Arabidopsis thaliana: one gene and its partners. The protein of the gene in region 3 interacts with the protein of the main gene of each other region in a pairwise test. Each region holds a gene or a part of one and is shown on either strand. Other genes may lie near its edges. The genes, in order: AT5G19680, I-2 and TOPP9.

The links.
Region 1: the proteins of TOPP9 (region 3) and AT5G19680 interact in a two-hybrid assay, tested with the Arabidopsis thaliana proteins (one large-scale study listed by BioGRID).
Region 2: the proteins of TOPP9 (region 3) and I-2 interact in a two-hybrid assay, tested with the Arabidopsis thaliana proteins (one large-scale study listed by BioGRID).

The regions. Positions count from the first base shown.
Region 1 is NC_003076.8:6,647,472-6,652,558, forward strand, and holds AT5G19680 (Leucine-rich repeat (LRR) family protein), read left to right. Parts: upstream 1-2,102; 5' UTR 2,103-2,191; coding exon 2,192-2,461; intron 2,462-2,688; coding exon 2,689-2,919; intron 2,920-3,001; coding exon 3,002-3,148; intron 3,149-3,236; coding exon 3,237-3,379; intron 3,380-3,463; coding exon 3,464-3,578; intron 3,579-4,012; coding exon 4,013-4,093; 3' UTR 4,094-4,575; downstream 4,576-5,087. Other genes in the region: AT5G19670 (Exostosin family protein), read left to right, coding at 1-237, 326-456, 783-1,131, 1,219-1,887; AT5G19675 (uncharacterized protein), read right to left, coding at 1,605-1,724, 1,753-1,845. UniProt on the Arabidopsis thaliana protein: Inhibitor of protein-phosphatase 1 (PP1). Binds to and inhibits PP1 activity.
Region 2 is NC_003076.8:21,202,030-21,206,848, reverse strand, and holds I-2 (phosphoprotein phosphatase inhibitor), read left to right. Parts: upstream 1-2,032; 5' UTR 2,033-2,129; coding exon 2,130-2,146; exon of another isoform or gene 2,147-2,898; intron 2,899-3,035; coding exon 3,036-3,148; intron 3,149-3,490; coding exon 3,491-3,685; intron 3,686-3,780; coding exon 3,781-4,031; 3' UTR 4,032-4,245; downstream 4,246-4,819. Other genes in the region: GB1 (GTP-binding protein 1), read right to left, coding at 9-117, 215-318, 409-470, 545-653, 958-1,098, 1,190-1,282; AT5G52190 (Sugar isomerase (SIS) family protein), read left to right, coding at 4,406-4,819. UniProt on the Arabidopsis thaliana protein: Inhibitor of protein-phosphatase 1 (PP1). Binds to and inhibits PP1 activity. Acts as negative regulator of abscisic acid (ABA) signaling. Enhances the inhibition of SRK2E/SNRK2.6 by TOPP1. May promote the interaction between TOPP1 and the ABA receptor PYL11.
Region 3 is NC_003074.8:1,617,160-1,622,647, reverse strand, and holds TOPP9 (Calcineurin-like metallo-phosphoesterase superfamily protein), read left to right. Parts: upstream 1-1,945; 5' UTR 1,946-2,797; coding exon 2,798-2,990; intron 2,991-3,313; coding exon 3,314-3,873; coding exon of another isoform or gene 3,874-3,891; exon of another isoform or gene 3,892-4,027; coding exon 4,028-4,207; intron 4,208-4,408; coding exon 4,409-4,432; 3' UTR 4,433-4,987; downstream 4,988-5,488. Other genes in the region: RPL18 (ribosomal protein L18), read right to left, coding at 1-31, 122-304, 526-654, 767-856, 1,135-1,137.

The DNA of each region.
Region 1 (5,087 bases), on a different chromosome or scaffold from region 3:
AATAATGGTTATCAGGTGCAAAATGTGACGGTTCAAAGTCAGAAGAACGTCAAAAGCTCTATTTTAAGTGGGGGCTCCTCCATTGCTAGTCCTGCATCTGGAAATAGTTCCTTGCTTGTTTCTAAGAAAGTAAGTAAGAAGAAGAAAATGCGGTGTGATCTTCCACCAAAATCTGTGACAACAATAGATGAGATGAATCGGATATTAGCAAGGCACCGTAGAACTTCACGAGCAATGGTATGTGTGCAGCTGTCATTTCTATTTTCTTTTCACCTGTGGAACTTTAGTTATGATGCAATTAAGAGATATACTACTTCCAATGTAGCGACCGCGTTGGTCTTCGAGGAGAGATGAGGAGATATTGACTGCAAGGAAGGAGATAGAGAATGCTCCGGTTGCAAAACTTGAACGGGAGCTCTACCCTCCAATATTCCGTAATGTTTCCCTGTTTAAAAGGTAAAAGTGCAGAACTTAGAGCTAATTCTGAATTAAATTTGCTGGTAATGAAAAAGAGTAATGGTATATACACGAATTGATGAATCCTCAGTAGTATCATTAGTCCTATGTGGATGAAACTTTAGCACTACTCCTACTGTAAAATCCGCATCATATGGTCCTATGTTGAGATAATTTTCTGTTCGGAACTTAGTACTGTGAAGAGAGTAAAAAGAAAAAGAAAGCCTGAGTTCATATTATATGTTTAGTTCACAAATTCGTTCTGTTTGGTAGTGTCTTCTTATAAAAGGTAATCTTGACATATCCGATTCAGTTATGTGCCTCAGGAGTTACGAACTTATGGAACGGATACTCAAAGTTTACGTATATAAGGAAGGGAACCGCCCCATCTTTCATACTCCGATACTCAAGGGATTGTATGCATCAGAGGGATGGTTCATGAAGTTGATGGAAGGAAACAAGCAGTACACTGTAAAGGACCCAAGAAAGGCTCACTTGTACTATATGCCATTTAGTGCACGGATGCTAGAATACACACTTTATGTGCGTAATTCTCACAACCGCACTAACCTACGCCAGTTTCTTAAGGAATATACGGAGCACATCAGTTCCAAGTACCCTTTCTTCAATAGAACCGATGGAGCCGATCATTTTCTTGTTGCTTGTCATGATTGGGTAGGCATCTGTTTCATTTTTTAAAGTTAACTAATCATTTTTTCTATAGGTAACAATTTTCTATGTTGAATTTGGCTTCACTAACAGGCACCATATGAGACTAGGCACCACATGGAGCATTGCATTAAAGCTTTATGCAATGCAGACGTAACCGCAGGCTTTAAGATTGGAAGAGACATCTCACTCCCTGAAACATATGTCAGAGCCGCCAAAAATCCGCTTCGTGATTTGGGTGGAAAACCGCCGTCTCAGAGGCGGACCCTGGCTTTCTATGCTGGAAGCATGCACGGTTACTTACGTCAGATTCTGCTACAGCATTGGAAAGACAAAGACCCGGACATGAAAATCTTCGGGCGAATGCCATTTGGTGTGGCGAGCAAGATGAATTACATCGAGCAGATGAAAAGCAGCAAGTACTGCATTTGTCCTAAAGGGTACGAAGTCAACAGCCCGAGGGTGGTTGAATCGATTTTCTATGAGTGTGTCCCTGTGATCATCTCCGACAACTTTGTGCCACCTTTCTTCGAGGTTCTTGATTGGAGTGCGTTCTCGGTCATTGTTGCGGAGAAAGACATCCCGAGGTTGAAAGATATCTTGTTATCAATACCAGAAGACAAATACGTGAAGATGCAAATGGCGGTGAGAAAGGCGCAAAGGCACTTTCTGTGGCATGCTAAACCTGAGAAATATGATCTGTTTCATATGGTTTTGCATTCTATTTGGTATAACAGAGTGTTCCAAGCAAAGCGTAGATGATGTTACTATGGAGTGCTGATGGTGAAAGTTTAGACCCAATGTGCTTGTTTGTTGTGTGAGTAATGAATAGCTACAAAGTTGACTCTACCTTTGTAAATATTGACTCATAATTTTGTTCTAATTCGACTTGATGTTGGGCCTATTCATAGGTTTTCAGGCCCACCATAACAACCCTACAGGCAACAATGTTACAAGTGTGCCTGAAACGTTGACGTTTAAGTTTAAGAGAACTTCGCTTTAGAGTTTAGACCAGTTCCCCACAAAGCTCGTTGTCGTCATCGCGCGAGCTTGAACCAAAAAAACCATGAACAGTGAGAAGGAAGACGAGCCATTGGAAGAGATCGGCGATTCGAATAATGTTCTCGATCTCACTAGCTATCAGCTCCACAGTCTCGATACGGTCGAGTTACCGCCGAACCTGATTGAGCTGGACCTTACGGCGAACCGTTTGTCGGGATTGGACTCGAGGATCGCTCAGCTCTCCACGCTTAAGAAGCTTTCTCTCCGCCAAAACCTAATTGATGATTCCGCCGTCGAACCGTTGTCTCACTGGGACGCCTTGTCCGATCTCGAGGTGATTCTCGACTCTCTGATTTATCTTTTGAGTGATTTTGTAAATGGTGAAATATCTAGGCATCTGATTTTGTTTTTGGCCGTGGAACGTTATGATTTTGGCTAATTGCCTTTTGCATTTCACTTTTGATTTTCACTAGAATTGAAAATTGGCATTGATAGTCTGAGAGGCATAGTTATTTGTGGGCAGTGGATAAAGAAGAGTGTTTCTTGCTATAATTTATGCAGGAGTTAGTTCTCAGAGATAACAAGCTAGCGAAAGTACCAGATGTCAGCATATTCACGAAGCTTTTGGTTTACGACATATCTTTCAATGAAATCACTTCTTTGGAAGGAATATCCAAGGCCTCTAGCACACTGAAGGAACTCTATGTGTCTAAAAATGAAGTTAACAAGATTATGGAGATTGAACACTTACACAACTTGCAGATTCTTGAACTGGGGTCTAATAGATTGCGGGTTTGTCCCTCCCTCCTCTTTGATATTTTTTTATTCTCTTTACAGTGCTTCAGCAATGAATTTGAAAGCATTGAGGTTTCAGGTGATGGAAAATCTGGAAAACTTCACAAAATTAGAAGAACTATGGCTCGGAAGAAACCGTATCAAAGTTGTTAACCTGTGTGGGCTCAAATGCATAAAAAAGATTAGCTTGCAGAGCAATCGATTGACCTCTATGAAAGGATTTGAGGTGTGCTTCATTTACCTTTCTGCAGATATACTCATTCCTCATGCCAGCATTTTTATTTCTTCTGATGCTTGAAATATTATGTACCCAGGAATGTGTTGCTCTTGAAGAGTTATATTTGAGCCATAATGGTATCTCCAAAATGGAAGGCTTGAGTGCATTGGTCAACCTACGGGTATTGGACGTGTCGAACAACAAGCTTACTTCAGTTGATGACATTCAGAACCTCACAAAGTATTTCACCTTTCCCTTGCTTCAGACCGATTTTTGTCTTTTGGTGATTTATTTTCTCCATCCTGACTTTAACTTAACCTATAGGTTGGAAGATTTGTGGCTTAATGACAACCAGATAGAATCACTGGAAGCAATCACAGAAGCTGTTACAGGATCTAAAGAGAAGCTTACCACTATCTACCTCGAAAATAACCCTTGTGTAAGTTTAATCATAATCTTTAGTCACTTTTCATCAAAGTCTTGTCACTCAGTATCGTAGGATCTCCTATCTTTGGTTTTGCTTTTGCTTTTTGATATGGAATGTCAATTTAATGGTACACAGAGTGATCCCATTGCTGGTCTTGTTCAATGTGCATCGTAATTTAGATTATTTTTTTTCCGTATATATTGATAATGCATAAGAAACCTTGGGTTTTTCTATAAAGTTTCTTATGCATTTAAGTAAACTTGAGTACCACAACTTGGTTGTAGTTTTTTGCATAAGTCAATTCATTTATTTGGGTGAGTCCCAGTGTCTTCTATAAATTATCAATTTCTTTGGCTCAGAAGATGTGAAAAGTAATTATTTTACTGAGAGCCATTAAACGTTATCTAATATAAGTGTATCATTTTCTGTTGTCCATCTCCTCTCAGGCCAAGTCTTCTGATTATGTTGCTGCGGTCAGACAAATCTTCCCGAATGTGGAGCAAATTGATTCTAACTTATTTGCTTAGAGATGGATATATTCCTTGTCGTGCTGTTTGTATGAATGTCTGCTTCCTCATCCCATGGGCATGGGCATCGAATTTAGGAAATCAGGTACAACACGGATTCCTCAAAATATACATGTGTCTGCTGTTTATCATAAAGAAGTGCAAATGAGCAAATTAAATCGCTCTCGTCATGGATATTTATTAAAACGTTTTTGAAATTCTAGTGTTCCCTTGCAAGTAAACCAATTCTTGTTTTTGGTCTGTAATAGTATGTGGACTGTGTCTGTAAAAGGGAATCCCCGAGTCTGAAGTTGTCTTTGTTTCAAGTTTCAACCGAGAACACTAACTTGAATACTTTGATCCATATTTTTGACTTTGCCCCTTGCTTTTTTATCTTTATAGTTTCATGTGATTGTTCAGTATTGAAAGGTTGCTATATTACATATTTTACTACTTTTTGGTAACTTGTTACAAGTTTTGGGCTTCTAATCTTTCTTTCCGACAGAAGTACTTTTTGTTAATGAACTGAAGAAATTTGCTGTATAAAAGAAGGTACAAGAGTGGTATAAAAGAAAAAGAAAAAAGTCATTTCACCAATACAGATCTGCACTTCTGCAATCACATTCTCTAGAGAGTTAGCCGCAAAGTATCACCTTAAATTATCTTACGTACCAAAATATTAATGGAAGTAGTCTATGTTTATACTAAACCGATTTGAACCGAAAATGTTTATAATAATGGTGGTATTTTGAATTGAGGTTTTGGTTGACCTGATATTTCATCGGTTTGGAAAGTCAACTTCTCTTTTATAGTCGCTCACCGGTTTGATTTGATTGATATTTACATCACGCAAGAAAACCGGATATAGCTTAAGATGACTTGTAGCGAATGAACACATGACATGTGTTAATTCCACGAAGGCTGGGTCAGTCGTTTGTTTACTAGTTACCGCAGCTCAAACATGTAATTCCCGTGAGAGATTGTTTTGCCGGAGATAGTAGTTTTCGCGTCTCCA
Region 2 (4,819 bases), on a different chromosome or scaffold from region 3:
TCTCGTGTCTATGAATTTGGCACAGGAGTGTACCCTGCACGGGCTCTTAATGATTCGGTTCTCTTGCTTTTCTCCATTACTCCAACCAGCCATTCTATACTTTCTTTGATTCCTCGCCTGCTCTCAACAAAACATACGTTTAATATTTCCTGCTAAAGGTGTTTCGATTGGCGCTATAAGGATCCTGTGTGTAGCTTACGTTAGATTTACTTACCCATCATATCCAGAAACTGCTTCAAACATGTACACTCTTTCATCCAATTTCTTTAAATCAAGGTATCGGTCCAGTTCCTCAGCCGATACAGCATTTGTGAGGTCCTGCTCATTGGTTACAGATTCAAAGACTATCAGTAACAACATATATTTGAAGAATTTAAGTGAAACAAATGACGCAATACAAATTCCTACTTGCTTGTTTGCCAATATTAAAAGAGGGGCTCCTTGCAAATCCTCATGCCGCAGGGCTTTTTCTGGTGAAGACAATTTATATTTTAGCTTTAGCTTCATAATGCTGTTTGGAGTCAACTTGTGTTCGGAGACTTACCTAAAGCAGATTTAGAATCTTCAAAGCGGGTTGGGCAAGCTGCATCAATCAAATATATCAACGCGTGTGCTTCTTCATAGTATTTCTCCCAAATAGACCGCAAACCAGGCTGCCATAAAGGGGAAAAGCCACAGTTATTTGATTAGAAAGACTGATCCTTGTTCACAATTAGGGTTTGTAAATCAAAACAACCGATAGTAGTTTTCAACAGGACGAAACAATCTATAAAGCAAAAAAGGCTCACGCATAAACTTAGAGAGGGAAGGAGTTCAAAGGGATCTTCCTTGTATCCTATATTTCTCATATCAACTTACAAGCATATTCTCTTTGGTGGTATAGGTGACTTGTAGGAACACATAATTAGGTACAAAGAAGAGAGATCAATGATATGAGCTAAGGCATCTCTAACTCACCTGACCTCCCAGATCCCAGAACACAATTTTAGCATTGGAGACTTCAATGCGACCAATATTAAGCCCCACAGTAGGAACAATTCGATCATGAGGAAGACCTTCCGAGATTGAGTATATCGTCTTCAGTTTCTCCAAAAATGTCTACGACATTGAAGTAAGGGCAAGTACATGAGAGGTGTATCCTCAACATTTCAGATTCGTGTAACAGAAAAGATTAAAAAGAAAGCATTACCGTCTTCCCAGCTTTGTCGATACCAAGAATAAGCACATTAAACTCAGTCTTGCTAAACATGTAACTCCATAGTCCAGACATAAGAGAAAACATCACTTCCTCTTACTTCAGCTTATTTAATTACTTTGATCTTCCCTTGTCTTTCACATGAACCAAAAATAAGAGAAGAGCTTATTATCATCAGCATCAACATAACTTTGCTTCCTTATCATAATTTGAGTAAGCATAACAAAAGCATCACACAAGTAATTGGAGATCACAAGACTCCATTCTCAGATCTAATTCACAGTTTCAGAGAAACCACTATGCAATACCAAACTAAAAAAACCACACAATTCACAAAAGGGTTCCAATTTACAACTTCAGCAAAACAGAAAAAATTAGATCTTTGGATAGATAATGGATCAAATAAAAAGCCGATAAATCACTAATACCTAAGACCCATTCACATTGTGCACATCAGGAAGATCAAAATTAGCCTAGTGAGAGCGAAGAACTAGATCAACACAAGCTCCCGAAACATGGTAAAATCATCAACAACTGAATTTTATTTTACATCGATTGAGAAACAAGAAAAATAAGATTCCAAAAATACTTACAGACTCTGAAGATCTTGAGAAGAATTAATGAAAGATCAAAGCTTTGGCTTTTGCACACTCCGTCTTCGATTCGATCGTTCTCAGGAAAAAGGAAAAAAAAAAAAACTTCTAAAGTGTATTTCCGAAACTACCCTTACTCAAGTCTTCACGCGCTTGATCAATCGAACGGGTTTGAAGTAATCCACGTGGCGGAATCTGGATGCAACAGTGATAAAAGTCAAACAAACGGACGGTTTCTGTTGCATCTTTAGTTGACCCTCGTATCTTCTTTAATCAAGAACACAACAGGTCTTAAAAACTTGCGATCGAGACAAAGAAAAAAGTTGCTGGAGATTTTGAAGATGACCGAACCAAAGAGGTAAATAAATTTTATTGTTTTGATTGTTTTCTCTTAGTTTGAATCTTTGATGATTGTCACGAAAGATCTATCTTTGATTTTAGTTTTGGTCTTTGTAGAACCAAACATAGGCTAGGGTTTCTTACAGTGTCTTTCGGGATATGTTATGGGTGAATGATTGAGGAAAGTGATAAGCTTTTGATATCAATTGGTTATTTAGGTTAAACCCTTTCTGATTGAAACCATTACTCAGCAAATTTGAGAAATTTAGGAGGTTTTTGCTTTATAGATTTTAGGATACTTTAGCTCAATGATCATGAGAGAGGTAGATACTGATTCCTGCTTCTTCGTATTTAAAGGTTTGTGATTTTGAGTGGTCAGTTATACCATTGTGTTCTTTTGTTTGGAAAGTTAGCAGATTGGATTGATTTTGATGGATTTCTTTGAAGTATGTTTCTCCTTTTCAAATTTTTACTTTCGCTTGTGTCTTTAGTTTCTATTAGATTTGAGAATGCTTGCTGCATCAGAACGGTACCTTTTCAATGTGTTCAAATAAGATCAATTGTGAAGTCAATGGGCTGTGTTATGTCATTTTTGTGGAGGGATGTATATTCATAGATATGAAGTTCTAAGCCTTATATGGCGGTCTTTTTATGAAGGAATCGTAAAACAGATATATTTTCTACTACACCCATTGAAAAAGGAAATGGAAGAGGGAGGTCTTATTGTGTTAATGTTCATGGATTTTCATATTCCAGCAGAATTGTTTAACTGTAAGATTCTGTGAACTTTATTGTCTTTAGTTTAAGGCTTAGACATCGTCATTCTTTTGTAAAGAGAGGTGATCTTTTGTATAATCTAGTATAGTTTCTCATGGAATTGTCACTAAGTATGTTTGTTATTATGGCAGGGGGCGTGTTCAATGGGATGAAGCTAATATAGTGGAGATTGAATCGAACAAACCTGTTAGGCAGAAGATTACTGAACCAAAGACACCATACCACCCGATGATGGATGATGATGGTTTGTCTATTTTTCTTTATTTGGTTTCTCTTAGTATATGCACAGAACTTTCGATACACGTTTATATGCTTATGACGTTTTTGCATTTTATTGTTGATACATACTTGTCATCATCTAAACATATATGTAAAAATGGAATGTATGTCAGACAGAAAGCAAGAGCAAATTGTATGTGAAAATTATCTGCTTTTTAATTCATCTACAAAGTTGGACGATTACTTATCTTTTTGGGGGAAATCTTGTACCTGCAATTGGTTGGTTGATTTGGAAATTTGTCACTCTAGATGTAAGGTTAACTTGAATCAGTTCTGATCTGTTCTAATCCGTGATTGATTGTGCCAGGTTCTTTGTCTCCTAGAGGAAGAGCGTTTGATGAATGTGTTGATGATATGCAACGAGCTGAAGAACTGAGGAATGTTCTGAATGATGCAGCAGCTTCTTCCAGTAGAAATAGTAGCCAGGGTTCTGGTGGTGGTGGCTGGAGCTCGTCTGATGAAGAAGAAGAAGAAGCAGATCCAATGGATCAAGATGAAGAAGGTCCTCCTCTAAAACCAAACAAATCTACTGTCATATATAGGTTCTTTTGTTAGGTCATCCCGATATATCTATTTTTTTTGTGTGCAAAACCACAGGTTCTGGAAGTGGTAAAAATGAACGTTTCAACGCACACAGAAAAGCACATTACGACGAGTTTCGGAAGGTGAAGGAACTGAGATCCTCAGGGTCATTCTATGAAGAAGAAGAGGAAGAGGATGATGGTGCAAAAGGTAGTAAATCAGAGACAACAACAAACTCACGACACACTAAAGGCGGAAACAAAGAGTTAGATGCAACCAAAACGGTATCAGGGACGTCGTCATCTTCATCCCCTGAGTTAATATAAAACCTTTCTGTTCAATCAAATGTGTACTCTGCTCCATGTTTCACAGAGAGCTCTCAATCTCAACTAATCTTGGTTTTTATCAATTTGAATCTTCCAGAAATTTAAGAAGGAAACAAAAACTCCCATCAATTATGTGATTGTCTTTTATAGCATTTTGAATGCAATTTCTTACTGTCACCTCTGTTCTTCCATGTTCTATGTTCTTACATCATATTCCAAATTTGTCATTGTATTTTTGTTTGATATGACATTAAAACCGAACCGAACCGGAATTCAATTAACCACCGAATCAAACGGTATAAATTTGTAAACGTGGTCCAAAATGCACGATATAAGATGATGATGATGATGATAAGCTGAATTATTCAACATCAATGGCGAACGAGAAAGCTCAAGAAATGGCGAATCTATCTTCTCAAATCTGCAACCAAATCTCATCTGTCTTCACAAAACCAACCTCACCATATCCACCACCGCTCGATCTCCTAGTAACAGAGCTTACCGCAATCTCCCGCAACCGCAACAACTCTCGTATCTTCCTCTACGGTGTTGGACGCGAAGGTCTAATGCTAAAAGCCTTCGCGATGCGTCTCTTCCACTTTGGTCTCCCCACTCACTTAGTCTTCGACATGACAACACCTCCAATCTCATCTTCTGATCTCTTAATCGCTTCAGCTGGTCCTGGAGGATTCTCAACCGTCGATGCGCTTTGCTCTGTAGCTAAATCGAACGGTGCTAAGGTTATACTTATTACTGCAGAGCCAGCGATAGGTTCTTGTGTGAAACAT
Region 3 (5,488 bases):
CACGTGAATTCTTAGGTCCTCTAAGAAGAACCTATAACACAAGAACACACAACTATCAAATTAAATATAGTATCCTTAACAACTTGAAAATGGAGAATAGCAGATTGGATAAGAGAAATACCGTGTTCTGGCCCAATGGAGCTCTGAGAGCGAGCTGGTCAAAGGTTAAGCATTCACCTCCAGCTTTCTCAATGCGAGCCCTTGCTCTCTCTGTGAACCTCAAGGCAGTCACTTTCATGGCTGGAATCTCGTGTACCCTCAAATCATCAGTTATAGTTCCAACCAAGACGGCAATCTTATCTTCCTATAATATCAGAACAAGAGGCAAAATTCAAAATCCAAAGCATAGACAATGTAGAGAATTTTGAATCAATTATCGAACACCGCCATGTTACAGACTAAGTTCACATTAGCAGATTCATAAACTGGACACTGTATCTAGGAAATGTAACAGATTCAACATGACCTAAAACTAATTTAACCATAAAGATACAGTAGAGAGAGAGGGTTTCAACGAATTAGTACCTTGCCAGTCATGAACTCCACAAGCCTAGATAGAGAAAGAGGAGCTTTGTTGACTTTGCTCATGAAAAGCCTCTTCAATATCACACCATTGAACTTGCTATTAGTTCTCCTTACCAGAAACCGGTAAAGCTGCAAAATTTCACAAACAAAATTCAGAACAATTCACTAAAATAAAATTAAAAAACCTCTTCAATTGGATAATATAAGGCAAAGGACAAAGATTGATGTTTAAAATTCTGACCTTGACAGTAAGCTTGAGGTAGACATCATCAGACTTTGGAGCTGTCCTTTTGGTCTTCTTACTCTTACCTCCGGCGATCAGATCAATACCCTGCAATAACACAACCAATCAATCTCACAAACAAGCATGAAAGCAAGATCCAATCTCAAAAAAACTAAGAGAGATAGATCGTTCACACTCTAACCCGAGACTCAAATGTCAGAAAAACAAACCTAATACACTATACAACATTTAAAATGACAGGAAACACCCACAATCTCTTAACAACAAGATTTCTGAACCTTTGATATCAAACTAACAACAGAAAATACTTGTAGAGGAAAGACAGAGAGAAATGAAGATTGAACGACAGAGGAGGAGAGAAGTACCATTGTCGTCCGGCGTTGTGGTGATGGAACCGCCGACCTTCTACATGAAAATACTGATGCTAGGGTTTTTATACCAACTCAATTTTAGGGTTCTCTTACTTCCTCCACGAAATGGGCTTAGTTATTTTCTTCCTTCACGAGATGGGCCTTGAATATAAGACCACAATAAGTTTGGACTTAAATTCTGTAATATATTGGCCCATTTATATAATTTTTATTTGTCACCATAGAAAGCCTTTCCTTTTCTTTTTCTGACCAACATGAAAAAAAAGCATTTCTGATGTATTTTCTTACAAACCTTTTATATACGTAACTATAAAAGATTAGTTATATTGATACAAGAAATAGTTTAATCATTGATGCATGCCGTCTAGAAGAAAAGAAATATTTTATTTTGCTTAGAAAAAAGAATGAACCACATATTAGGTGTAGTATACTTCATACTTGTTATCATGTATGTAAACTACTAATACATAGGTAAGTATACTTGTTTACGCAATTTTAACCTATTATTGTTGATTTCTTGTCACAGAAAGTGTTATGAATCAACTTTCAAATAAGTTAAAATTTACTCGCCCAAAAAGAAAGAAAAAGTATCAATTAATGTTACTAATCACTGTCTGTTTATATAATTAGGATGGTGTAGTGGAACATGATGGGAACCCATTTACGAATTCTAAGTATTACCCTCACACGTATACAAATATAACCATAAAACGAACTTTTCAAAAGACGCGGTTTCTCGCCCGACAACAATTACTTGAATAATTTATTTAACTACAAAGGAAATTAGTGTATGTAAGGAGCTTTGACCAGTTCCAATGAGAATCATCCACGTCTCATTCTTTTTAGGCTGGATCTTCTTCTTCCATCACCGTCCGTCCACTACCCCATAATTCTTGCCTTAGAAGGTTTCACTAATTACTTCGTCTTCGTTTTTCTATTTTGAGATTTGACAACTTCCCCTTTTAATCATGTTTTTAGTTCTGTTGGACAATACCAAATCAATTGCACTGGTTTTGCTTTCTTTATCCAATCATTTTTTCTTTTGTAGTTCATTGGATCCATTTTTACATCATGTAGAGTAGCCATTGTTACAATACCAAACAAAGTTAGAAATTGCTAAATATAATTGTTAATTGATATAATAATCGTATATAGTTAAAACTCAACTTGTTCCATTTCTAATCTTAATTATGTTTTTTTGGACCGACATCATTCTCTTAATGTAATGAATAGCCATTTAAAACAGAGTTGAAATATAAATTCCAAAAATTTCTGGCAGCAAAAGAGAGAGAAGAGAAGGAGCTATTATCTGCGCCATCTGTTTCTCCAATTAATAATCTCCTTAAATCCGGATTTGTTATTAATTCTAATCTTTTCCAATTGATCCACTTTCCTCCTCTGAGTTTTTAAGACTAATAGAGAGATATATAGAGAGAGATTGCTTCTGGTTTTGCCTTCCCCCTTTGTTTGACCTCTCTTTTCTTTCTTCCCCCCTTTGTGTTTCCCGCATTTTCTCGGGAAAATCTAAAGGAACAAAAACATTAAAAGTTTGTGATTTTCTGATTATTTCTTTATTTAATCGAGACCCATTGTTTCTCGCCTGATTTGGCGCAAACCCTTTTGGATTCTGGTGAAAAAGGTTGGGATCAGAGGAAGAATGATGACGAGTATGGAAGGGATGATGGAGATGGGTGTATTGGATGATATTATAAGGAGATTGTTGGAAGGTAAAGGAGGTAAACAGGTTCAGCTTTCGGAGGTCGAGATCCGTCAACTTTGCGTTAACGCCAGACAAATCTTCCTTTCTCAGCCTAATCTTCTCGAGCTTCATGCCCCCATTCGCATCTGCGGTCTCTTTCTCTTTCTCTCCCTCTCTTTGTGGTGATGATGAAAAAATATTGTGGCTTTTTGGTTTTGATGATTTGGGTTTGAGTCGTATTGCACGATTGGGGTTAAAAAGATGAGATTTGTAATTGGGGGCAAATTTGTGTTGATTAGGGTTCCTCTTTTTTTCTTAATGTCGAAACGTGTGTTTGAAGATTTTAGCATCTGGGTGATCTAAAAAGTTTTGATTTTGATGGATTTATGTTAAAGTTTCTGCAAATTGTTTCTAAATCTGCTGATGCTTTGTTTTATGAGGTACTAATGGTTTCCGTTTTGATCTCTAATTCAGGTGATATCCATGGACAGTACCAAGATCTTCTGAGGCTATTCGAATACGGAGGCTATCCTCCTTCAGCGAACTATCTCTTCCTCGGCGATTACGTTGATAGAGGCAAGCAAAGTCTTGAAACAATATGTTTACTCTTGGCTTACAAAATCCGGTACCCATCCAAGATATTTCTCTTGAGAGGAAACCATGAAGATGCTAAGATCAACAGGATTTACGGGTTCTATGACGAATGCAAACGGAGGTTTAATGTACGGCTTTGGAAGATATTCACCGATTGCTTCAACTGTTTGCCGGTAGCTGCTCTCATTGACGAGAAGATCCTATGTATGCATGGTGGATTGTCACCGGAATTGGAAAACTTGGGGCAGATTCGGGAGATTCAAAGGCCTACAGAGATTCCAGACAATGGTCTTCTTTGTGATTTACTTTGGTCTGATCCTGATCAGAAGAATGAAGGGTGGACTGATAGCGATCGAGGTATCTCCTGCACGTTTGGAGCCGATGTAGTCGCTGACTTTTTGGATAAGAATGATCTCGATCTCATTTGCAGAGGCCATCAGGTAAATAGACTTCCATAGTGATCAAAACTAGAACCAAATGGTCCAACTCTGTAGAAATGTTTGACATTTGTTGTATCTTGTGAATATGGGCATAAAGGAAAAGACTTTTATGAGAACCTTCCAAGATATTGACTTGTGAGGGACGTGTTTGCAGGTAGTGGAAGATGGGTATGAGTTTTTCGCAAAACGGAGGTTAGTCACAATATTCTCAGCTCCAAACTATGGAGGAGAGTTTGACAATGCCGGTGCATTATTGAGCGTGGATCAATCTCTCGTTTGCTCCTTTGAGATTCTGAAACCGGCTCCAGCTTCTAGCACTAATCCTCTCAAGAAGGTTTGTTTCCACCAAGAACTTTCAAAAGACCAAGTAGTCCTTCTTTTGATAATAATATTGGTTAGCTCGGATATACCAAAATCTGAATCCAACAAGACCAAGCCTTTTGGACTTGATGAGTCATGACAAGTTTTGTTCTTTTGGAAACTTCACGTCATAATGTAACACATGTTTCTCTCTATATTTTCTCTTTTTGATCAGGTACCGAAAATGGGGAAGTCTTGAAACTTAATACAGCTTATTCCCTTGAGAGATTTGGTTTCACAAGCTCAAGCTAGCGCTCTGTGCATTTCTTCAGATGTAGGCAAACTGCAATGGAGAAGAGAACCTCAAAAGGCTACTTTACTTAGTCATCAAAGAAGAAGCATCAGTAGAAAAAACAAAAGAGAGAGAGAGAGAGAGAAAACAAAAGGTGTTGTCCAAATATTCTGTGTATAGTTGCAGAAACATCTCTTTTCTGCTTCTCTAGATTTTCATCTCCTTTTGGTCTGTTTTCTTTTATTTGGTTATTCTTTTAACACCTTAGTTTAACTTAGAGTGCCTCTCCTCTTTTGCTTTTTTCTTTCTTTCCTGTATCATCAAATTACCACATTTCTTAATCTTTTCCATATTTGAATTGACTTCCATGGTTTGGCTCTTACTTTTGTGAATCATCTGCACAGTAAAAACAATTTCCTTTTGATTTAGCAGTACATGTCTCTCTGTGTTTTTTCTCTTCCAGCAGTAATACATATACTTTTTACAGAGCTTACTTTTACACAATGGCACGACTTGTTCTCTCTGTTTCGGAATTGGTTCTTCTTGAAACTGATTCTCCCTCTCTCGTCGAGTTTTCATAGTAGCACATTTTATTCTCAGGCTTTTGGTTTAATTTCATAGGAAGATGGTTCAATCCGGTTTACTATTAAACCGAAAAATCTAAAAACTAGATTTTTCGGTTTATGAAATCCACAAACCAAATAATATAGCTGCATACCAACCCAAAATCTCGGCAAATCAATGTTTTCCGTAAATAACCTTTTCTTTATCGATGTTGTCAGGAACATTAAGGGTAACTTAGTAATATAACAATTGCAGACGTTTTAGCGAGCAGAGGATCCCCAAAGCCAGACAAATCCTCTTCCGTCGCCGCCGCCGCCGCCGCAAGTCTCGTCGGTTAGTTTCTGAATCTCTCGTTTCTAAATCTCTGATCTTTCGTTGGATTCCTGTGTTTGAATCTCAGCTTCTCTACCTGGGTTTATGTCTCAGCTCTTGAACTTGCTTGATTTCTGCATTTCTTGT